Daphnia pulex: one gene and its partners. The protein of the gene in region 1 purifies or fractionates together with the protein of each later gene. This does not show direct contact. Links are inferred from orthologs where the notes say so. Each region holds a gene or a part of one and is shown in the gene's direction. Other genes may lie near its edges.

What was found.
Region 2: the proteins of histone deacetylase complex subunit SAP18-like (region 1) and serine/arginine-rich splicing factor 1-like purify together in Homo sapiens (co-immunoprecipitation; 4 studies listed by BioGRID and IntAct, with this or other methods). This does not show direct contact. The link is inferred for Daphnia pulex from reciprocal best matches to the Homo sapiens genes SAP18 and SRSF1.
Region 3: the proteins of histone deacetylase complex subunit SAP18-like (region 1) and FACT complex subunit Ssrp1-like fractionate together in Homo sapiens (co-fractionation; 3 studies listed by BioGRID and IntAct, with this or other methods). This does not show direct contact. The link is inferred for Daphnia pulex from reciprocal best matches to the Homo sapiens genes SAP18 and SSRP1.
Region 4: the proteins of histone deacetylase complex subunit SAP18-like (region 1) and splicing factor 3B subunit 1-like purify together in Homo sapiens (co-immunoprecipitation; 3 studies listed by BioGRID and IntAct, with this or other methods). This does not show direct contact. The link is inferred for Daphnia pulex from reciprocal best matches to the Homo sapiens genes SAP18 and SF3B1.
Region 5: the proteins of histone deacetylase complex subunit SAP18-like (region 1) and apoptotic chromatin condensation inducer in the nucleus-like fractionate together in Homo sapiens (co-fractionation; 7 studies listed by BioGRID and IntAct, with this or other methods). This does not show direct contact. The link is inferred for Daphnia pulex from reciprocal best matches to the Homo sapiens genes SAP18 and ACIN1.
Region 6: the proteins of histone deacetylase complex subunit SAP18-like (region 1) and eukaryotic initiation factor 4A-III fractionate together in Homo sapiens (co-fractionation; 3 studies listed by BioGRID and IntAct, with this or other methods). This does not show direct contact. The link is inferred for Daphnia pulex from reciprocal best matches to the Homo sapiens genes SAP18 and EIF4A3.

What each region holds. Positions count from the first base shown.
Region 1 is NC_060018.1:4,705,792-4,708,649, reverse strand, and holds histone deacetylase complex subunit SAP18-like, read left to right. Parts: upstream 1-1,390; 5' UTR 1,391-1,532; coding exon 1,533-1,616; intron 1,617-1,678; coding exon 1,679-1,785; intron 1,786-1,873; coding exon 1,874-1,964; intron 1,965-2,063; coding exon 2,064-2,258; 3' UTR 2,259-2,358; downstream 2,359-2,858. Other genes in the region: protein toll-like, read right to left, coding at 1-258; uncharacterized protein LOC124210509, read right to left, coding at 2,381-2,729, 2,791-2,858. UniProt on the Homo sapiens protein: Component of the SIN3-repressing complex. Enhances the ability of SIN3-HDAC1-mediated transcriptional repression. When tethered to the promoter, it can direct the formation of a repressive complex to core histone proteins.
Region 2 is NC_060024.1:10,561,747-10,565,362, reverse strand, and holds serine/arginine-rich splicing factor 1-like, read left to right. Parts: upstream 1-1,307; 5' UTR 1,308-1,489; coding exon 1,490-1,659; intron 1,660-1,715; coding exon 1,716-1,820; intron 1,821-1,947; coding exon 1,948-2,081; intron 2,082-2,142; coding exon 2,143-2,315; intron 2,316-2,373; coding exon 2,374-2,416; intron 2,417-2,477; coding exon 2,478-2,641; 3' UTR 2,642-3,116; downstream 3,117-3,616. UniProt on the Homo sapiens protein: Plays a role in preventing exon skipping, ensuring the accuracy of splicing and regulating alternative splicing.
Region 3 is NC_060026.1:11,629,052-11,633,083, reverse strand, and holds the start of FACT complex subunit Ssrp1-like, read left to right. Parts: upstream 1-1,232; 5' UTR 1,233-1,400; coding exon 1,401-1,451; intron 1,452-1,523; coding exon 1,524-1,709; intron 1,710-1,776; coding exon 1,777-1,992; intron 1,993-2,059; coding exon 2,060-2,235; intron 2,236-2,292; coding exon 2,293-2,428; intron 2,429-2,504; coding exon 2,505-2,608; intron 2,609-2,670; coding exon 2,671-2,799; intron 2,800-2,872; coding exon 2,873-2,980; intron 2,981-3,043; coding exon 3,044-3,227; intron 3,228-3,287; coding exon 3,288-3,393; intron 3,394-3,445; coding exon 3,446-3,747; intron 3,748-3,817; coding exon 3,818-4,032. Other genes in the region: coiled-coil domain-containing protein 25-like, read right to left, coding at 64-266, 324-503, 574-665, 728-800. UniProt on the Homo sapiens protein: Component of the FACT complex, a general chromatin factor that acts to reorganize nucleosomes. The FACT complex is involved in multiple processes that require DNA as a template such as mRNA elongation, DNA replication and DNA repair.
Region 4 is NC_060027.1:4,648,201-4,651,518, reverse strand, and holds the end of splicing factor 3B subunit 1-like, read left to right. Parts: coding exon 1-269; intron 270-328; coding exon 329-625; intron 626-689; coding exon 690-1,019; intron 1,020-1,088; coding exon 1,089-1,352; intron 1,353-1,414; coding exon 1,415-1,651; intron 1,652-1,712; coding exon 1,713-1,902; intron 1,903-1,969; coding exon 1,970-2,243; intron 2,244-2,307; coding exon 2,308-2,524; intron 2,525-2,585; coding exon 2,586-2,744; 3' UTR 2,745-2,818; downstream 2,819-3,318. Other genes in the region: coenzyme Q-binding protein COQ10 homolog B, mitochondrial-like, read right to left, coding at 2,898-3,318. UniProt on the Homo sapiens protein: Component of the 17S U2 SnRNP complex of the spliceosome, a large ribonucleoprotein complex that removes introns from transcribed pre-mRNAs.
Region 5 is NC_060026.1:13,527,855-13,531,994, reverse strand, and holds the start of apoptotic chromatin condensation inducer in the nucleus-like, read left to right. Parts: upstream 1-1,340; 5' UTR 1,341-1,441; exon of another isoform or gene 1,442-1,472; intron 1,473-1,530; 5' UTR 1,531-1,730; coding exon 1,731-1,874; intron 1,875-2,305; coding exon 2,306-2,371; intron 2,372-2,441; coding exon 2,442-2,647; intron 2,648-2,711; coding exon 2,712-4,140. Other genes in the region: aspartate aminotransferase, mitochondrial-like, read right to left, coding at 1-40, 113-241, 302-461, 583-665.
Region 6 is NC_060018.1:3,384,302-3,387,979, reverse strand, and holds eukaryotic initiation factor 4A-III, read left to right. Parts: upstream 1-1,178; 5' UTR 1,179-1,308; coding exon 1,309-1,456; intron 1,457-1,563; coding exon 1,564-1,766; intron 1,767-1,821; coding exon 1,822-1,954; intron 1,955-2,018; coding exon 2,019-2,152; intron 2,153-2,207; coding exon 2,208-2,296; intron 2,297-2,353; coding exon 2,354-2,492; intron 2,493-2,555; coding exon 2,556-2,671; intron 2,672-2,734; coding exon 2,735-2,970; intron 2,971-3,036; coding exon 3,037-3,053; 3' UTR 3,054-3,178; downstream 3,179-3,678. Other genes in the region: uncharacterized protein LOC124188409, read left to right, coding at 1-44; 39S ribosomal protein L35, mitochondrial-like, read right to left, coding at 255-483, 535-642, 698-921; ATP synthase mitochondrial F1 complex assembly factor 2-like, read left to right, coding at 3,558-3,678. UniProt on the Homo sapiens protein: ATP-dependent RNA helicase. Involved in pre-mRNA splicing as component of the spliceosome. Core component of the splicing-dependent multiprotein exon junction complex (EJC) deposited at splice junctions on mRNAs.

The sequences.
Region 1 (2,858 bases):
ATCACATGAACACTGAATTTCAAATGAACTGTCACCATTGTCTTTAAGAGCTTTATAATCTGCTGAAATAGAACCCTCACCAACTGAACATTGTAAGTTGAAATCGCCATTTGTCTTCGGAAAGCATTGACATTCAGGATTTTCACGTTGAGAACATTTCCAAAAACTTTCTGGATGCTGGTCGATAGCAGCACTTAGTTCTTGACTGACAACAATGGTTTGAAAGAGAACACAACACAACACAAAACGGTAGGACATTTCTAAACTGTTACATACTTTTTCTTTAAGAGTAAACGTATTTCATTAGTCAACACTCAACAGGCGATACGAGATTCATGACCTTGACGTTTACAATGTGACGTTCCCATTTCCCGATTCTACGAACTTTCTAACATAGCAACATCACAAAGTGAGCAAAGGCCTGAGTTGGCAAGGGGGGTTGCAGTCTATTGTGATCATTGTTCGCGCCTGCCACCTATATTCTAGATTGTTTAGATTCTATTTACCCAGCATGAATCACAATGAACGTGAACGAAGTTTCACGATGTTTTCAGCCATAGATGTCTCTCTCTGATATCCGTAGATTGTGACATTACGTGATACCCCGATCAAACAGGCCTTGCAATGTATTTCCTTTCGTATTATGAATTTATTGCACGTAAACAGAGCCGAGGGAAAGTTAAAATGTGGTTAAGCTTTCACAACTCAGAACGAAATGAAAAACATAATTTTTAGACAACATATTTGCTTGAAAAGACTTCTCCGTTGATAGAATGCCATACGTTATTAATGTTAAAACATAGTTTTCTCTAATTAAAACATGATTAAAAGTTCCGATTGTGATTCGAATTCTGAATGATTAATCCTTAGTTTGAAATTAAAAATAAACACCAATCCAATCTTCTCTTCAATTAAATTGCAGCTAATTATTTGAAGTGGTTAGTATTTAGTACGCGTAGATGCGGACTATTACATTAAATAAGAAATGCGTAAGGCAAGGCCAGAGCAATAGATCCCTGGTCGGTTCACGGCTGTGTTGGCTTCCCCATCTCGATTTTAGGGTAAACGTAAGCCGATTTGGAAACTTTAAAAAGCGCCTCTAGTGAGTGTGTCAGCTACAACGTCCAGCTACTTTTGAGAGCCTAGATGGCTCTTTTTAAAGTTTCCACTTCACAATTCTGACAGGCCCCGCCCTAAAACCCCCTGAAAATCGGCTTACGTTTACCCTAAAATCGAGATGGGGAAGCCAACACAGCCGTGAACCGACCAGGGATCTATTGCTCTGGTAAGGCCGTAATTCATTTTCGATCGCTGGCCCGCCTGGCCGTCCCGCACTCCGCAGACATTATTCACATGATGGCAATGTGGCAAAATTACAAATTGCCACTATCAGCCGGTTGAGGCGCTGTCTCATCAGAAGTTGTTCGCGTCCATGAAACAGAATAATCTTGTTTCTCCCGGCTCTTCTAACTCAATCATTAAAACTATTCAAGAACCTTGTGAAAAGTAATTTGAAGTTAAAACCATACAGAATGGCTACGGGAACTGTAGAATCTGCTGTGGCCGTTCGAGTAGAAGAAAATAGAGAAACTGAAAAATCTGTTGACAGAGAAAAGGTAGACTAACATTTTTTGCATTTTCTAATCTAAAATATGACTGAACTGAGTTTTCTTTGCAGACATGCCCATTGTTACTTCGTGTTTTCTGTGCCATGGGAAGACACCATAGTCTTGGTGATTATGCAAGAGGTAGTGTGCCAGCAAGTGAGCTTCAAATTTATACATGGTAAGGAAATCCCAAGAAAAAGTGATATTTACGGCTAAAGTTATGTGTAATCGTAGAATTCATGAAATTTTGCATTTTGCATTTATAGGATGGATGCCACTCTTCAAGAAATTACTGGATTGGTGAGAGAAGTTAATTATGAAGCCAGACGCCGTGGAACACGCTTTTCCTTTGCTCAGGTACATTCTAGTTCATACAGTACTTTAAAGTAAAGAGGAACTGCTGTGTTTGTTTGTTAGTTCATCATTATACATCATTCTTTTCTTCTGTCTGCTTAGGTATTCCCCGACCGAAGCACACTAAGCATGTCTCGACGTGAAATAGGTTCCACAATCTCAGGAGAACGCGGGCCAGATGATATGAAGACCCTCAAACAGTGCCGTTTTACCATTGGAGACTATATTGACATCGCCATCACTCCACCCAGCAGAAATATGAATAATCAAAGCAACAGGAGATTCAGGCCATACTAACTTTTTTTTTGTTTATCGACACGGCATTCTTGTTTTTTTTTTCCAGCAATTTTTCCAAGTCATTTTCATAATTGACAGTAAAAAATTTTCACATAGAAAATGTATTTCTCAGTTGCATTTTTTTATGGAAGGCTAAACGCTGCATAAGAATCCCGTATTAAGTAATTAAGGGTTAAGTCATCCGAATGTTCCAGAATTGTCGCAATCAGTTCCTCTTGCTCTTGATGAGAATCAGACGGAATTGGAATTTCTTTTTGTGCTCCCAGTTTACATGTAAATTTATGATAGAATTCTAGCATTTGACAATTCATAGAAATGCCATATTGAAAGGACAGCCTTAGTTGGTGATGTGCGTCTTTCAAATTTCCAATTTCATCGAATAATTGCGACAGTTTAAAACATAATTGGGATCTGATCACATCTTTCGTTCCACTCACAGCAAAGGTTATAGAATTCAGTTGCAAAATTGATCTAGAAAATAACGTTTGGTTTTTAATAGTTACGCTTTATATTCATGAACTAATTATAATACCTATTGATGAGCTGGATAGCTTTCTTGTATTGCTTGAAATGTGCGCAGATTTGAGCATGAAGGTACAA
Region 2 (3,616 bases), on another chromosome or scaffold:
AAGGCCTGTTACCAGCAACTTACATGAACTCTGATGTTCGTAAGTCAAGTTGTGTCCAAAGCGCCACCAGTGGACTGATTCATTCAAACAACATACTAACATACTATCATGATAATATGGTTACAATTTGGTTAGTAAAATACAAGGTTAACAACATTTGATTTCTCATTTATTTTTCATATTGCATTCATGAGGGAAAAACGTTTTTGACTGAATGAATGTTTTCCGTTAGAGGGCAGTAGTAACCGTAGCAAAAAAATGCGGGACTAAAATTGACAGTCAATTGCCTATCGCACAAATACCTTGCTCCAACGTATTAAGGCTTTAAGTATCGGTAGAAGTAAATGATAGAACCAAGTGATTCTAACGATAGTTACAAAAGGCGCGTTTTTTTTAAACAGGGAAATTATTGAAAGTCTATCAACTATAATTAACAATAATAATTATTCACGTTTCTCCTTGCTAAAATTTTTAATTAAAATGAAATGTGTGACGTCAACATTTATAAGCGTTTCCGTTTGCTGCTGTTAGAATACTTTTTTAAATATCACATTTCCGGGCGGAACGGACAAAACAAAACATTGTGAAATATAATAAGGAACACAAAAGAAGAACATAAATACTTTTTTTGTTATTATTATTTCAAATCTAAGTTGTCTTATCCCTTATGGCACGCTCAACTATTTTTCAGACTTACAATTTTCAGAGCTATTGCTTATGGCAAGCCAACTCAAAATTTCACAGGAAAAAAGGAATAAATGCACCACTGAAAAATTAAAGATAGGTTATTGTTGTAACCAATGCCGGTTTATTTATACCAGTTCTTGAAAGGAGATAACCCCCAGAGCAAATGACCTTGTCACAAAGTTGATCGTTACGTCAATGCGGTTGAAAAGAACTCGACCTTGATGTACGATTTTATACCAGGTATAGATTGCACGCGAACGTCGTTACCAAGAGCCCAACAAAAATGTCGCGCAATAGGCTCTGCATGCAAGGGTCATTCAGTTAATTGCACCAGAACAAAGAAGTACTCAAGATAACAAGCATAATTTTGAGATAACTGAGTTAACCATTAATAGCTGTGGTTCGGTCTTCGGTTTGCGCTTACTAGAGTGCCACCGTGTTCACTTTGAAACCTAATTATTCACAAAGCCACTAATATGAACTTATTTCAACTTAATTTTCATCCGCGATTTATTTGCTAGATTTATAGGCAAACAAAAAAAATTAAAATCACAAAAATAGTAACTATAAAAAAAAGACAAAAAATAAAAATAAAAGCGTTATCAACTTGCTGATCTGGCAATGCTCCATGGCTGACGCCATTACCCGTTCAGAAAAATTTACGGCATTTTTCTGTTTGACAAGGGGCGCCTAACACCCAAGACTACTGTGACGTCTTTTTTCGAAAAAGCAAATTCCGTATTCGAATTCGATTTAACATACACATTTGGCAACTAACCGTAAGTGACAAGAAACAGTCAGTATGTCAAGTTCTCGCAACAATGAAGCCAGAATCTACGTCGGTAACTTGCCACCCGACATTCGCACTAAGGACATTGAAGACTTATTCTACAAATTTGGAAAGATTGCATACATTGATTTAAAGAACCGACGAGGACCTCCTTTTGCTTTTGTTGAATTTGAAGATCCCAGGTATGTTGCATGGTTATATTTGTTTCCTTGTTTAGTTAATTACAAGCACTTTATAGGGATGCTGAGGATGCTGTGCATGCTCGTGATGGCTATGACTATGATGGATATCGTTTGAGAGTGGAATTTCCAAGAGGATCACAGAATTCTGGTGGTGGACACAGGTCAGTTTTTCTATCCTCACATACCATATTTGTAATTTAGTTGTGATTGTTTTATTTTGTTGGTAAAAGAAATTATGACAAACAAGTAAAAATCCTAATTTAATTTTTCATAATATTTATTTTTTAGGGGTAGTGGTGGTCGAAGTGGAGGAAGAGGTGGTGATGGAGGTAGAGGAGGGGGTGATGGTGGGGGTAGCAATGGTGGAGGCAGGAGTCGAGGGCCACCAGCAAGAAGAACAAATTACAGAGTCATTGTAACTGGTGAGTTAAACATTTAGTAAAGTTTTAAACCATCATTTAAAGCCACTTTTGATATTCACAGGTCTTCCTCCTACTGGATCATGGCAAGATTTAAAAGATCACATGAGAGAAGCTGGTGATGTGTGTTATGCTGATACCTATAAAGATGGAACTGGAATGGTTGAATTCCTTCGCTACGAGGATATGAAATACGCCATCAAGAAATTAGATGACTCAAGATTCCGTTCACATGAGGTATATTTTCTACAAATCTTGATAAACAAAGTTTTCAAAATTATTCGTACGTTTACAGGGAGAAGTATCATATGTGCGCGTTAAGGAAGATAGCGGAGACGGTAAGTTATATTTCAATTTTTGTTTAAAGTAAATATTGACCTTGAATTTTTTCTTCTATAGGTCGCAGCGGCGGAACTCGTGATCGATCGCGATCTTATTCTCCAGCCGGTGGTGGCGGCAAAACACGTGGAAGTCGCGGCTCCCCCAGCTATTCCCCCGTTCGTCGTGGTGGTTCATATTCCCGTTCGCGCTCACGCTCACCTCGTTCCAGATCACGATCTTAAAAAAGTTATGGAAACGAGAAAAAGGCAAAACTAAACAAAAAGACAAAAGTTGTGCGATGTGGACAACAAAAAGCTTAAGGATTGGAAGGACTGGAGGAGGAAAGGGGTCTTTGGTATTGTCTCCATGGTTCATACTATATTTTCAAAATTCTTAGATGAATAGCAAATCTTTTAAATTGCAAAAACCAATTTTTTTTTTTTTTACAACAAGCTACATCAAAGATTTCAATTTTTTATGAGAAACTCAAAATATGTTTCTTGGGTTATGATTTTGGCATTTGCAATTATTGCTACTAATCATTCAGTTTCTTCTCGACGTACACGTAATCCTTTTTGGTTTCGAATACCCTCAGAGCTCCCCGATTCCAACCAACTAATTTTTTTTTTTCCGTGAGCAACCTCATCCTTTCCTTTTTCCCCTCCCTCTTGTAATACACAAAATAGCTGTGCGTCGAATAAACATGATTCTCATTTTCTTCCCCTTTCTATTTGTAGCGTACACAGCAAGGTTATTGCTCTCTCTGGATGGGATTGTTGTGGGATTTGGATTGCATTGGATTTGGATTTCATTGGAATGGATTTGGATGGATGCATTGTGGATTGATAGGTGACAGGATCTGGAGGATATGCTGGAAACAGCAACCGCTTCTCCTTTGTCTACAACCGTCGTGGTGAATCGCTGTGGACTTGCCTTGTCAGGACCCGTTTATTTTAAAGAGATCTGTTGGACTCCGGCACTTTGGAATTGAGCCCGACCTAAGACAAGAGTTAACTTAGGATTGCTTACCCTTTGATTTTCAGGCACTTTTTTCATCATCATACAGAGAAAGAAGAAACCGACGGATGACGACAAAATGGAAATAATACATGCCTTGCAAATGGTGATATTTCCTTGGAGTACAAAGAAATTCCTTCGATGTTTACCGATACTTCTGTTTTCGGCACATTGGAAACAGTATTACCATTTTAATGACA
Region 3 (4,032 bases), on another chromosome or scaffold:
ACATGTAAAAATTAACATTTCTGTGTAAAAAAATAAATATAGTGTTTAGTAAATCAAGGTCACCTTAGTTCAGCTTCATCCTTTTTTCGCTTTTCTTCTTCTCTCTCCCTTTCTTTTTGTTCTTTAAGGAGCCTTTTCTTGTCGTCTCTTTCTGCACAGTCTCTCTGTTCTCTTTCAAACCTTAAATCAGGTTTTTTCTCAACTTTGGTTTTGTTGAGACGGTTTACAATTTCATTAATTCTTTTCTCCACCCTAATCTTGCGAACCTATAAAACTTGATTGTTAGATAATGGATAGGAACACATTAAGAAGGAAATCTGTACATCTTTTTCTTTGTGAAATCCAACTTGTCCAACTTCCATACCAGGAGTCTTTTTCAAATTAGACCACAGGGTGTAAACAACATCAATGTTGTTCATTTTATTCCCTTGGATGCTGTTCGCTTTACATAATTGTGCTGCATCTTCTAAAATGGCTGCTGGAATATCATCAATTACTTGACCCTACAAATAAGAATAGTAACAGAGCTGTATTAAAAATTGTTTTATTTGATTTAATAAAAAAAACCCTTACCTTGTTTAGTCGTATGTAAACATGGGCTGACGATAGCTTGTCAACGTGGAACCAAACATCTTCAGGCCATCCCCACTTGATCAACTCCTCATCTAGTTGTTACTACAAGGATTAATAATCCCATTTTATATCTTACTGATTGATTACTTCTTACTTTCATGTTTTTCTTCTCCCATGAAAAGTGCGCAACTGGGTTGAACGGCGGTGCTGACGAAATAGAAAACCATTTTAAATCTTAAAAATATAGTCAACTAATTTGAGAGGGCCAGCGAGAAAACATTCAGATCCAAATTCCAATTTTTTAACACGTGGATATACTATTTTCTACAATAGTAAATGCAACTTGACAATCCGCCTTGCGGCTGACAGTACTTCGGATAACACTAGAAGAATACGGTCGATCCCTCTTGACCACTTTTTGATCTTTTGATCATGTAAAGCTCTAGAAAATCTATGGTAGTGAGTGCCATCTGGAGTCTCAACATTGTAGAATCCACATTCCACAATCCTGAAATCCTATCCAATCCAATCAACGAAAAATCCTCTTCCCCAGTTTAAATTTCTACTTAAAAATAATTTTTCTATTAAACTATGATTTATTTCAAATGTTCAAATACGGTATCAAATATCTTTAAAATCTAGCGTTGCCCAAACGAGTTTCACTGGCAACGCTTTATGGCCATTCCTTATACTTCTCCGCTCGGCGCGAAGTAAAATAACCGACTGCTGGTGTTTTACATTGTTACGATTATTCTCTTGCTTTCCAGCTCGTCTAGTTGGATTTTTATTCATTTCGCCAATCGGGATTACAATTTTTTCGTTGTGTGATGGATTTTTTAGAGTTCTCTGATGTTTCAGCTGAAATTAAAGGCTCAATGGTAAGAGGCTCGCTAAATTGTCATATCGGCTGCACGTGAATCTTCTTCTATTGACAAAATTTTTTCTTCTAGACTCCAGGCCGTCTAAAACTAACGGATCAGAGTATCGTGTTCAAGAATTCCAAAACGGGTAAAGTTGAACAGATAAGTTCTTCTGACATTGAATTGGTTAACTGGCAGCGACTAGCTGGTGCTTGGGGACTACGTGTATTTCTCAGAACCGGAGCACTTCATCGCTATGGTGGATTTAAAGATTCAGTAAGTAATTTTTTAACATTTGAAAGCTTTTTTATTTTCAATTTCCTATTAATTTGGTTTTGTCTAGGATCAAGACAAGCTGGCAAAGTTTTTTACTCAAACCTACAAAAAAGACATGCTGGAGAAAGAGCTGAGTGTCAAAGGATGGAATTGGGGCCGTGCTGAGTTCAGTGGTTCAACTATGTCTTTTGAAGTTGGAAACCATACTGCCTTTGAGATTCCTCTAAGCAATGTGTCCCAATGCACAACAGGGAAAAATGAAGTCACCTTAGAATTCCATCAGGTGGGTACTATTATGACAAACAATGCTGCAGACATCTTACCTACTGCTTTATTTTCTCTAAAACTAGAATGATGATGCATCAGTCAGTCTGATGGAGATGCGTCTCTTCATTCAGTCCAATGATCAAGGTGGAGATGATGCTGTTGAAGCATTCCAGAAGCAGGTGATGCCTAAAGCAAGTGTCATCAGTGCTACTGGTGATGCAATTGCCATCTTCAGAGAAGTTCAGTGCCTCACACCAAGGTATTTTCTATCATTTGTACTTAAAACATTTGCTCATTTAGTTTTTATCCTTGACAGAGGTCGCTATGACATCAAAGTTTTCCAATCATTCTTTCAACTTCATGGTAAGACATTTGACTACAAGATTCCAGCCTCTACTGTACTTCGCCTGTTTTTACTTCCGCACAAAGATGGTCGGCAAATTTTCTTTGTAGTAAGTTACACATCTCTGAAAAAGAAATTAAGAAAAGAATCATCATTAATCTACATATTTTTATTGTGTAATTCAGGTAAGCCTTGATCCACCTATTAAGCAAGGTCAGACGCGTTACCACTTTTTGGTCCTTCTCTTTAACAAAGATGAGGAGACATCTTTTGAAATACCATTATCAGAGTGAGTAATTTTGAATAATTCAACATTTTCAACACGTCATCAAAAAACGTTTGTCCTAACAGGGAGGAATTGAAAGAAAAGTTTGAAGGCCGACTTTCTCGTGATTGTAATGGTCCAACTTATGAAGTTATGAGTACCGTCATGAAGGCCATGGTTAACCGAAAGGTCACTATACCTGGAAATTTTACTGGGTAAAATTTTATATTTTCATTTCAAGTGTTCTAGACTGATTTCACAGTTTCCTTCTTTTTTAATTATTTATAGCCATTCTGGAACCCCCGCTGTTGGATGTTCCTACAAAGCAGCAGCCGGATACTTGTATCCGCTAGAACGTGGTTTTATTTACGTTCATAAACCTCCTATTCACATTCGGTAGAATTCGTTTCCCTGAAATTTTTGTTTGCATATTTTTTAATTTATTCTTCCTTCGCACAGATTCGAAGAAATTGCAAGTGTTAACTTTGCTCGTGGCGGAGGAAGTACCCGTTCTTTTGACTTCGAAGTTGAGACCAAAAATGGGGTTGTTCACACCTTCAGTAGCATTGAAAAGGAGGAATATAACCGCTTGTACGATTTCGTAAACAACAAGAAGCTCCGCGTCAAAAATACTGGCCGATCCGTAAGATCTAGCAACCCATTGATAGTGTTTGTACTAATCAGTTTTTGTTGTACGTAATAGGACAAGTCCGCTCATGGGGATGATTTTGGCGATTCGGACGAAGAGGAAGCGCCCGACGCATATTTGGCTCGTGTCAAGGCTGAAGGCAAACAGCGTGACGCAGTTGGTACGTTTTCCTTGCTTAACGAAACAAAAGCCTTTCCACTAACATGTGCCAGTTGCAGGTGACGATTCGGGTGGAGATTCTGATGAAAATGACGAAGACTTCAAACCTGGTGAGGAAAGTGACGTAGCAGAAGAATACGACTCCAATGTGGCTACGACCGACTCGGAAGCATCCGACGCATCAGGTGGAGCCAAGGCTAGTAGTGCTGCGAAGGCTAGTAGTGCTGCCAAGGCTGGCAGTGGTTCTGGCAGTGATTCCGATTCCTCGTCCAAAAAGAAGAAAAAGAAGGACAAAAAAGAGGAGAAGGAGAAAAAGGAAAAGGAACCCAAGAAATCCAGTAGCTCGAAATCGGCGGTAATATCATCTTTCAATTTGCCAATAATTTCAGAATTAAAGTTTTTATCGTTTATTAATTTTGTTGTAGGCCCCTAAAACTCCCAGATCGCACAAATCCAAGAAGGATAAGGATGCAAACAGGCCCAAACGACCACAGTCGTCGTACATGCTGTGGTTGAACGACTCACGCGAACAGATTAAAAAAGATAACCCTGGCATAAGTGTCACAGATCTGATGAAAAAAGGTGGCGAAATGTGGCAGAAGGTTGAAGATCGATCTATATGGGAAGCCAAAGCTAAAGT
Region 4 (3,318 bases), on another chromosome or scaffold:
TCTACAAATTGGATGATCTAGTGCGTCCATACGTCCACAAAATCCTTGTCGTTATTGAACCGCTGCTAATCGACGAAGACTATTATGCTCGTGTTGAAGGTCGAGAAATCATCTCTAATTTAGCCAAAGCAGCTGGTTTAGCAACTATGATTTCTACCATGAGACCTGATATCGATAACATTGATGAATATGTTCGTAACACTACTGCAAGAGCTTTTGCTGTGGTAGCTTCTGCACTGGGAATTCCTTCCCTTCTTCCCTTTCTAAAGGTATATAGTTTGTTTCAGTTTTAAGATGGGCTTGTTCTTATCTATTATTTTTATTTTAGGCCGTTTGCAAGAGTAAAAAGTCATGGCAAGCTCGCCATACTGGCATCAAAATCGTCCAACAAATTGCTATTCTTATGGGATGTGCTATTTTACCTCACTTGCGAAATCTGGTTGAGATCATTGAACATGGATTGGTAGATGAGCAACAGAAAGTGCGCACCATCACTGCCTTGTCCATTGCTGCGCTGGCAGAAGCCGCGACTCCGTACGGTATTGAGAGCTTTGACTCTGTTTTAAAACCGTTGTGGAAGGGTATAAGAACTCATCGTGGTAAGGGATTGGCTGCTTTCCTTAAGGTATGTTAATTGAAAGTAAAATATTATCCTGCATACTGTAATATTATTTGTTTAAAAAAAATAGGCTATTGGCTATTTGATTCCTCTCATGGATGCCGAATACGCCAATTATTACACTCGCGAAGTGATGTTAATTTTAATTCGCGAGTTTCAGTCACCTGACGAAGAAATGAAAAAGATTGTACTTAAAGTGGTGAAACAGTGTTGCGCAACTGACGGTGTGGAACCTCAGTATATTAAAACAGAAATTTTGCCACATTTCTTCAAAAGTTTCTGGAATCATAGAATGGCATTAGATAGACGTAACTATCGCCAGCTAGTTGACACAACAGTTGAAATCGCTAATCGTGTTGGTGCAGCGGAAATTATTGGCCGAGTGGTTGACGATTTAAAGGTTTTATTCATTTTCATTATTTATAATTCAGTGACAGTCAAATAACATGTTGAATATTTTTCCTAACAGGACGAAAATGAACAATACCGGAAAATGGTTATGGAAACGGTCGAAAAGATCATGGGTAATCTTGGTGCCGCTGATATCGACGCTCGCTTGGAAGAGCAGCTCATCGACGGTATTCTCTACGCATTTCAGGAACAAACGACTGAAGATGTTGTGATGCTAAATGGATTCGGTACAATCGTGAACTCACTTTCCAAACGAGTTAAACCTTATTTGCCACAAATTTGTGGTACTATTTTATGGCGTTTGAACAACAAATCAGCAAAAGTAATGTTATACAACTTTTATTTGTAAACGTTCGTTTTAATATAATGATTTTTATTCCATAGGTTCGGCAACAAGCTGCTGATTTGATTAGCCGTATTGCAGCAGTAATGAAAACTTGTCAGGAAGAAAAGCTCATGGGGCATCTGGGAGTTGTTCTCTATGAATATCTTGGCGAAGAGTACCCTGAAGTTCTTGGGTCTATTTTAGCTGCTCTTAAAGCTATTGTTAACGTAATTGGCATGCACAAGATGACACCGCCAATCAAAGATTTACTTCCCCGATTAACACCTATTTTGAAGGTTCGCTTTTTTAACATATCAGTAATTTATTTTTCTTATTGTGGTTTTATTATCATTTTAGAATCGGCATGAAAAAGTACAGGAAAATTGCATCGATTTGGTTGGGCGTATTGCCGATCGTGGGCCAGAGTACGTTTCAGCTCGAGAGTGGATGCGCATTTGTTTTGAGCTTTTAGAACTCTTGAAAGCACACAAGAAAGCCATTCGACGAGCTACAGTCAACACTTTTGGTTATATCGCCAAAGCAATTGGTGAGACCGAAATTGTCATGGTTATTATGTACAATATAATTATTTATTTTTCAACAACAAATTTCAGGCCCACACGATGTATTGGCTACACTGCTTAATAATTTGAAGGTACAGGAGCGCCAAAATCGTGTTTGTACAACCGTTGCCATTGCAATTGTGGCTGAAACTTGTTCGCCCTTCACCGTCCTCCCTGGTCTTATGAACGAATATAGAGTCCCGGAACTTAATGTTCAAAATGGTGTTTTGAAGTCGATGTCATTCTTGTTCGAGTACATTGGCGAGATGGGGAAGGATTACATTTATTCAGTTACATCGCTCTTAGAAGACGCTTTGATGGATCGGTAAGTTTCTAGTTATTTTGAATTTATGATTAATTAGTTAATGAAGCACATCTGTTTATTTTAGTGACCTGGTCCATCGTCAAACTGCTTGTGCAGCCATCAAGCACATGGCTTTGGGTGTTTTCGGCTTTGGTTGTGAAGATGCCCTCACACACCTGTTGAACTACGTTTGGCCCAATATTTTTGAAACATCCCCTCATTTGGTTCAAGCTTTTATGGATGCTGTGGAGGGTATGAGAGTAGCCCTGGGCCCTATTAAAGTCTTACAATACGCACTGCAGGTAACTTAATTATTTGATTGAATTAGAATTTCAGTTTTAAACCATTTTCTTTTCTATATAGGGTCTGTTTCATCCGGCCCGGAAAGTTCGTGACGTGTATTGGAAGATTTACAACTCACTATACATCGGCGGTCAAGATTCACTGGTGTGTGGGTACCCTCGAGTGTCCAACGAAGGGAAAAACACTTTTAATCGTTATGAACTCGATTATGTATTGTAATTCACTTTCTGTACTACATTTTTACACAAGTTTCATGTACTGATTTCATTAAAAATAAACTCACTTGAGCCGTCGCAATTCGTGTAATGTCATCAAATTTAGATACAATATTATTTAACATTTCAATTTAGCTAGTGATTATTGATTAAGTCATTAGGCGTGTGTAGATAACATCTGTGGCCTTTGACCATTAATTGACGCTGGTCCGTAACGTCTCCTAGCCTCTGTCAAAAATGCAGTAACCATTTGCCTAACAACCTGATCAAAAAAAACATGTGACAGTTGAGAGTGAAGTACAGACCGAAATTCAAAGGAAATGGAAAAATCCAATGTGCAACTTTTAGGATTTCCCTTTAGTCCAGGACTGAATTTCCAAATAGTAAGAAGATGGTTGAATAGCTTCCCTTCTGAACACACAGACTTCACCATGTTTGGTGGGGTAAGCATGACACTGCTTGTATAGCTTTCTACTAACAAAGGAGGAAAGCCAATTGCTAAATCAGCTCTAAGATGACCAGTAGTTCGTGAGGTAACTACAGAGCTTTTGCAATATGGAACAAAATTTTTGTAATTC
Region 5 (4,140 bases), on another chromosome or scaffold:
GGAGGGAACCAGTTCCTGAAATTCCTTGCACAGTAGCATTCTGCAATGAAAATTTTTAAAGGCAATTGTTTATAACTATAAAACATCTTTGTTGGCACATGTGAAAACTGACCAATCCATTCTTAGTCCATTCATTGTCCTCTCCAAGGGCAAGGTTGATGGTAGCTTTGCAGAATTCTGGACTACCGGAGATAGGCGAGTACTCCTTGTCCATGTTCTTCTTCTGGATTTCCTCTTCAGCCTGAACATAATAACTATAATTAAGCTATTGGAATATAATGAACAAATCTCACAGAAATACCAATTTCACAGATGGCAGGATGAATGGTTTTCCATTGTCATCTCGGTAGGCTCCTACACCCAAGTTCATTTTCTTGGGGTTGGTGTCACGCTTGAAGGCTTCAGTTACTCCCAAGATAGGGTCAGGAGGTCCCATCTCGACATGACTCCACCATGAGGAACTGTAATTGCCAAGAAAGTTAAGTAATCGAAGATTCAAGGCCGTACAAGGTCATCCGTAACGGACGGTAACAACGGACGGTAACAATGTTTCACAGATATTTATACAAATACGATACGTACTTTCTAGACGAAACGGACAAAGCATTTTGGGCGGTAGTCAAAGTTGACGGCGAAAAAAATTTCAGTGACGAGATGAGTGCCATGTTGTGCTGACCGGAACCAATGAAAGTATGAAACCGGACAGAATTGCACGTCTGCAATTGGCAATTGGTGATTTCCTCCGACTGGATTTCCTGCTGAGCATCAGCATTGTCAAGTAGTCGGTGAGAAAAATTTTAATGAAAACATTTTCGGTTATTCATCATCTTCATAATTCTATAACATGAGTTAAAATAATTTAGTGGGAAATAAGTAATTTATATTTGATCGACAATTTAAGGGGAATGTCTAAACTTGGCAACCAATAAAATAGCAGGTAAAAAGTGGCGCAGTTATTTGATGTAATAGCAGAGTTAATTTTGTTTTGGATGAAATTGAATTGAAAAAAGCTTTTCATTTCAATTGCACAATAGTCTATTTCAAATTTTCAACTAATAAGAAGTAGCAAGCAGTTGTAGGTTTGTTAAGGAATCCTCTTCAAAGTAGGTCACACTGCATTTGTGTGAATGATTGTGTTTCCAGAGGAAATTGCTCTGCTGCTAACAATGAATAAATAATGCTTATTTTTGTATCATGGGGAAAATAAATTGTTCGTTAGAAACTAGAAACAACAGGGTACGGGTCATTGAGCTCTACCTTTCATGAATCATTGGACTTTTGATTGGACCTGACCCTCCATATCTTAATTACCCCCTTGTTCCCATTGCAGTTGCTATTTCTACTAAAGCTGTTTCAAACTGCACAGTCGTTGCTCTACTTTGCTTGTGTTCGTGTTGACCCTATTAGTCGTGTGCAGGCAAAAACCGTTTCAACAGCAACAGTAAGGATTAATCTAAACAAAATACTTCTAAGTAATCCAATACGTATAGTTGGTTGAATTTTAATTGCTGTTTATTTAAATATGACCAGACATTATTTTTTTTAAACGTATATCATCGTGTAGACTGTAGATGCAGTAAATATAGACCAGCAGCAGGACTGAAGGAGTAGGACTTGATGTTTATGACGTGTTGCGCGAAGCTACCGCTAGGTGCGCTGTACAAACGTCGCCGAGCGAATGCGCTGGCCTGAGATAGCTAGCATCACACTTGATTCTTCACAGGAAAACGATGGCGGACAATCGGGGAAGAGAGTTATGTGTTGGGGGGAAACCTATTTCATCCCTACGCGTCGTTGATTTGAAACAGGAACTAGAAAAAAGGAGCCTCCCGAAATCAGGAAGCAAAAAGGATTTGCTAGAGCGGCTCAGATTGGTAAATATTCTTTTAACTTGAAAAAACCGCTAATGTGTTTCCCGTCCTCTAGCTCCGGGTTTTGTTGTTAGCCCATCCCCCTCGACGCAAACAGACGCTTTCAGCGTGTGTCGCCATGGGGGGGGGGGGATCTGTCATTAAGCAAATCAATATAGGATATTAAGTCTTAACCTCATATTCTGGTAGCATTGCAATTTTTTTCCCTTTTTTTTAAGCAGAAACAAATTTTGTTTACATTTCAGACCCCCTACAGGCTATATTTGAACTAACATATGTTTGGATTTCATCACTCCATCTTCTGACTTTAAATGAAATCCCACATGAATGATAATGCAATATGATAAGACTAGGAGCCAAACTTCTTTTTAGTTTATTATATAAGAAGGATTCTGAAGTAAGCTAAACTTTTGTTGCATTTGTTTCTTCATTAGCACCTGCAATTAGAGGAAGACCGCGAGGCTGCCTTAGCTGATGAAGAGCATGTTCCAAACCTTTCGGTAAGTACTCTTATCACATTTGTTTGCACTGATCTACAGACAATTTTTAAATGATCTTTCATCATGTTAGCTATGCAATGAAACTGAAAATGATTTCATTCGTGAATACTTGGCTGCACAGCAGGCCAGGTTCCAAGTACAAAGAGAAGCCAAGAAACAATATGAAGAAAAGAAGCGTGAATCAGAAGCTAGTGCTGAAGAAACAACTCAAGACGAGGATGAAGCGTCTGATGTATCTCCAACCAAAAAATCTCCCAGAAAAGCCATGAGGCCAAAGTAAGTTCTAAAGTAATTTCAAATAAAAAATAACATTTACTCAACACAGTGTATGTTAATGTAGGAAAAACGAAGAGTCTACATCTACGCCAAAAGCGCACAAATCCGCACTGGATTTTCAAACACCAGAGTCGATGCCTTACTCCACTCCACCACAAGAAAAGCGAGATGAAGACGGGGCGAGACACGAGAGTGATACCACCGGTGAGGAGGAAGAATCCATGACTCCCCAGACCCGTAAACATAAGCTACTCAAATATGTTCAGCAGCCTGCCTCTAGTAAGGGTCCTGGTAAGTCGGATACCGGACAATTTTCAATTGCAGACCATGTGGATAGATATCAAGGGAGTGGGACATCAGAAAGGCGGGATCCACCGCCTTCCAGTCTCTATGGTGAAGCCATCAATTTGAAGGTGGAAAAAGAGAAAGAGATTTCACCTGTTAAGAAAGAACCCTCACCGGTAAAAAAAGAAATCCCTTCACCGGTTAAGGTAGAAACTCCTTCCCCCGTAAAGAAAGACGGACGAGTATTGCGAGGACAAAAGGCGCATAGTGTGAAACCTCCACCCACCGATGTGTCTGAGGATGAGGAGGACGACGACGAAGAAGAAGAAGAAGGAGTCTTTCCCCGTCTTGTCGAGGTCTGGTCAGAGAAAGAAAGAGAGGAAGAAGCTGCAGCTTCGGCCTCGGCTGAAAAATCTTTAGCACACAAATCGGAAAAACCTAAAGAAAATGTTGAACATCCTTCGTTGAATGTTAAACAGGAAGACCCTGAACCCCACAAGCCCGTTGTCACTGTAACCCTTGTTGAAAAGTGTAGCGAAGAAGAGTCGAAGGATGTAGCGCCTTGCGCTACCGATCCGCTAGCAGATAATCCAAGCAAGACAGAAACCATTTCTGTCGAGGATGAAGCAAAACCGGTTAAAAGCGAATGCGCGGTAGAAGTACCACCAGTAGAATTAGTTGTAGAAAAAGTTAAAATCGAAGAAAAAAACGTAGAAAAGGTAGAGGATGTTAAGGAGGATGAAGCGTTAGATATGACCACGGATAGCAAGGTAGATGAAGCTTCTCAAAAAGCGGATCTCGTAATTTTAGAGGAAAAAGTAGAGACTGCAAAGTTAGAGGAACCGGTTGCGAACTCTTCAGCGATTGAGGTACATGAAAACGATACTGTCGACGCTTCTGTATCTGTTGTGGAAATCGTACCGCCCGCTGAAATCGAAGAACCGATTGTAGATCTCGTAACTGTAGAAAAGACAAATGTCCCCTCTGAAACCCCCAATAGAGATATTTCAATCACGGAATCGGAACCCGAGAAAATGGATCAGTGTGAAACTACACCAACCGATCAATCCGAGCCAGAGAAAACGGATCTGTGTGAAAACAAACCAATCATGAAATGCGAGCCTGAGTTGAAGGATCAGCCCGAAACGAAAGAGCCTGAGTTGAAGGATCAGCCCGAAACGAAAGAGCCTGAGTTGAAGGATCAGCCC
Region 6 (3,678 bases), about 1.3 Mb from region 1:
CTCAGCGAAAAAGTGTTAAAAGGACTCAGGAATGGGACTTTTAAATCCCCCACCCCCTGATATTATGTAACAGTTTTTCAAATTTCTTCTGTTCATGTACTCAAAGATAACACTTCAGTAATACATTTCAGTTCAAGTTAAATATGGTTAAGATATTTGTACAACCAATATTTTTTAACATTGGAATGAAATAAATACAATAAATTTCCTTTTCCATTATTTGAATGTATTTGAACTAGTATTAATTATAGACCTCAATGAGGTTTAACAGCACTTGATGGATACTCTTCTCGCTGATGATACGACTCGTACATGTCATCAACGTAAAACCGTCTCTTTCTCCAGTATTTCGTTACCATTTTGTCAAGAAGAGTTGACTGGGTAGCATTACAAAATACATGCTTTTCACCCCGAATCTTCCTTTTTGCTGTTTTGCTCCAGTGACGTTTACTGTGTCCCACCATTGGCCTTATCCATGCACCCCTAAGAAAACATAATGAATATAAATAACCAGGAATGAATAAAATATATTACCATCCTAAACGATAGAACCTAGAAACAACAGCTTTAACTGTTTTGCGCTTCCCTTTTTTGAGTGACCATTTTGTAACTGATCGGGTTTGCTGCAAAGAGGGAGTAGTTCTGCAAGAAAGTAAGCTTAATTTGTGTGCTTAATAAAATTTAAATTCTTGCTTACAATGACAGATTTTGAAGCAATGGGGAAATAGATGATAATATACTTGGGGTAGCATTCATGGAAGGGTATTGGACACACCGAAAAGTTGATTCTGACGAACCCGAAAAAAACCTTGATGTGCTAGGCAGCAAAATTTTTGCTTTGACTGAAACGACATTTTTAGAAATTGGTGAATAATTCGCCAATCGAAAAGCCGATTGAATAACGTTTTTCAAAGTAAACATTTTAGATTTTTATTTTTCTTGAATCGGGAGAAAATTATTTTCAGTGTTCGTTCGTCTGCTTAATTGAATCTTTTCATGCACGATATCGATATACAAATTACAAAGGCCAGGTCTTTAAAAGGTTTTTAGCAACTTTCATTGATTTTTATTAAATTAAAAATTAAATTAGTTTCAAATTTTAGTGGATCATGAATCATTACTTTTAAGTTGTAAATTTTTGCTTTGAAACCATGAGTATGAAAATTTGGCAACACAGTTGACTCCATGTTGAAGCGATTTTAACGTCTGTAACATTCATTCTATAGCATCCTTTCACCCTTGCCGAACGGACGCAAACTAATTATTCACGAACTATCGTGCTTTTTCACACTTCTGATTTCTAAAAAAATGGAGTCTAAAGGCAGACGTGTTGTCCAACAGATGCCGGATGATTTAACTAATATTGAATTTGAAACGAGTGAAGATGTCAATGTTATTCCCACATTTGACAGCATGGGCCTCCGTGAAGACCTGCTAAGAGGAATTTACGCTTATGGTACGTACAAATGAGACTTTCACTTGTTGAGACCTTGCTCCATTATTCACATTATCCTTAACCTACATGATTTTTAATGTTGAGGTTGGCTTTAAATGTTTCTATAGGATTTGAAAAACCATCAGCTATTCAGCAGAGAGCAATTGCCCCAGTAATCAAGGGGAGAGACGTTATTGCCCAAGCCCAATCCGGTACTGGCAAAACAGCCACATTTTCAATTTCAATTCTTCAGAGTCTTGAAATTCAAACAAGAGAAACTCAAATATTGGTTCTAAGCCCCACTCGAGAGTTGGCAGTTCAAATTCAGAAAGTATGTTATGGCATTACTTTCTGTAGTACAGTGTTTTCATTTAGCTTGTGTTTAGGTTATTCTGGCTCTTGGTGATTACATGAATGTTCAATGCCATGCGTGTATCGGCGGCACTAATGTTGGAGAGGATGTTCGAAAATTGGACTACGGTCAGCACATTGTTTCTGGAACCCCTGGACGTGTATTTGGTATATTTTGCTATTTCTGTTTGTTAAGTTTGGATTGATGATAAGTGTCTTGATAACTCTACAGATATGATTCGCCGACGTACACTAAGGACACGTTCAATTAAAATGTTGGTCCTGGATGAAGCCGATGAAATGTTAAATAAAGGGTTCAAGGAGCAAATTTACGATGTCTACCGTTACCTTCCTCCAGCAACCCAAGTATGTTTTATGATATTTCATAAGAAAAACCAATTAAATCAATCTTTTATTCAAGGTGGTTCTTCTTTCAGCCACATTGCCTCATGAAATCTTGGAGATGACCAGCAAATTCATGACAGATCCCATTCGCATTTTAGTCAAACGGTAAACGTTGTTAAAAGTCTGCTTGTTTTTTATTACTAATTATTTTATGTGGTTTAGTGATGAGTTGACACTCGAAGGAATCAAACAGTTCTTTGTCGCTGTCGAAAGAGAAGAATGGAAGTTTGACACGTTGTGCGATCTGTACGACACACTGACAATCACGCAGGCGGTTATTTTTTGTAATACTAAACGCAAGGTTAGTCACGATTAAATCTCTTCTATTGTTGATTTCGATGTAACACAGTTAGATTGATTTTAGGTTGACTGGTTGACGGAGAAAATGCGTGAAGCGAATTTTACCGTTTCTTCAATGCACGGAGACATGCCTCAAAAAGAGCGTGATACTATTATGAAAGAATTCCGTAATGGTCAGAGGTATTGAAATTTTCGTCTACCATATAACCATTCAGAGTAATAACAATTATTCGTTTATTCTAGCCGAGTTCTTATTACAACTGACGTTTGGGCTCGTGGTATTGATGTTCAACAAGTTTCGTTGGTCATTAACTACGATCTCCCTAACAACCGTGAGTTGTACATCCATCGTATCGGTCGTTCTGGCCGATTCGGACGTAAAGGTGTTGCAATTAACTTTGTCAAGAATGACGATATCCGTATTCTCCGCGATATCGAACAGTACTATGCTACACAGGTTGACGAAATGCCCATGAATGGTAAAATATTTTTAGCATGTTTTTTTTTAACTCTTTCTAAATGTGTTTGTTTTTAATCAATTTCAGTGGCTGACCTCATTTAATCTATAATCCATTTCGGAAAAAGGAAAACAAAGAAGTTGATGCGTCATGTTTTTATTTTGCTGGATTTTTTTTTTCTGTATCCCCGAAGATTTGGACTAAATATATGAAACTTGTGGCCGTTTAATTAATTGTCTTGTTCCATTGTTGGAGTCTAAAAATGACGTCTACTTTACTCGTAGATCTGAAGTAATATATGAACCTTTTGCTCATGAGTTATGACTTATTGACTTATGAGTTATGACACAGTATTTATAATAAGGCATGTTGATTTTTTTTACTCACTTTGAAAATACTTGCGACAATTCGAAACCAGTATTTGAAGGACGTTCCAAATTCCAATTACAAAGTTAGATTTGTTGTATCTCTAGTAGCTGAACAAAAGCTAGAAACTAGCTGAAAACTTGGTTGCTGAAACCCAGTACCCCACATTTCCTTTTTTCTGTTTGAAAACAGTTTTGGTCTGCTACAGTTCGAAGCACCCGGTTGTTGCTTGTTGGTGGGTGATGAAATCATTTGTCACCTCGTCAACAATGTCTTTTTCAACTAATAATTTAATACGTTTTGGCTCCGGCACTTCTAATTTATTGAGAATACTTGGTAATAATCAAATAGGAGCTGGAAACG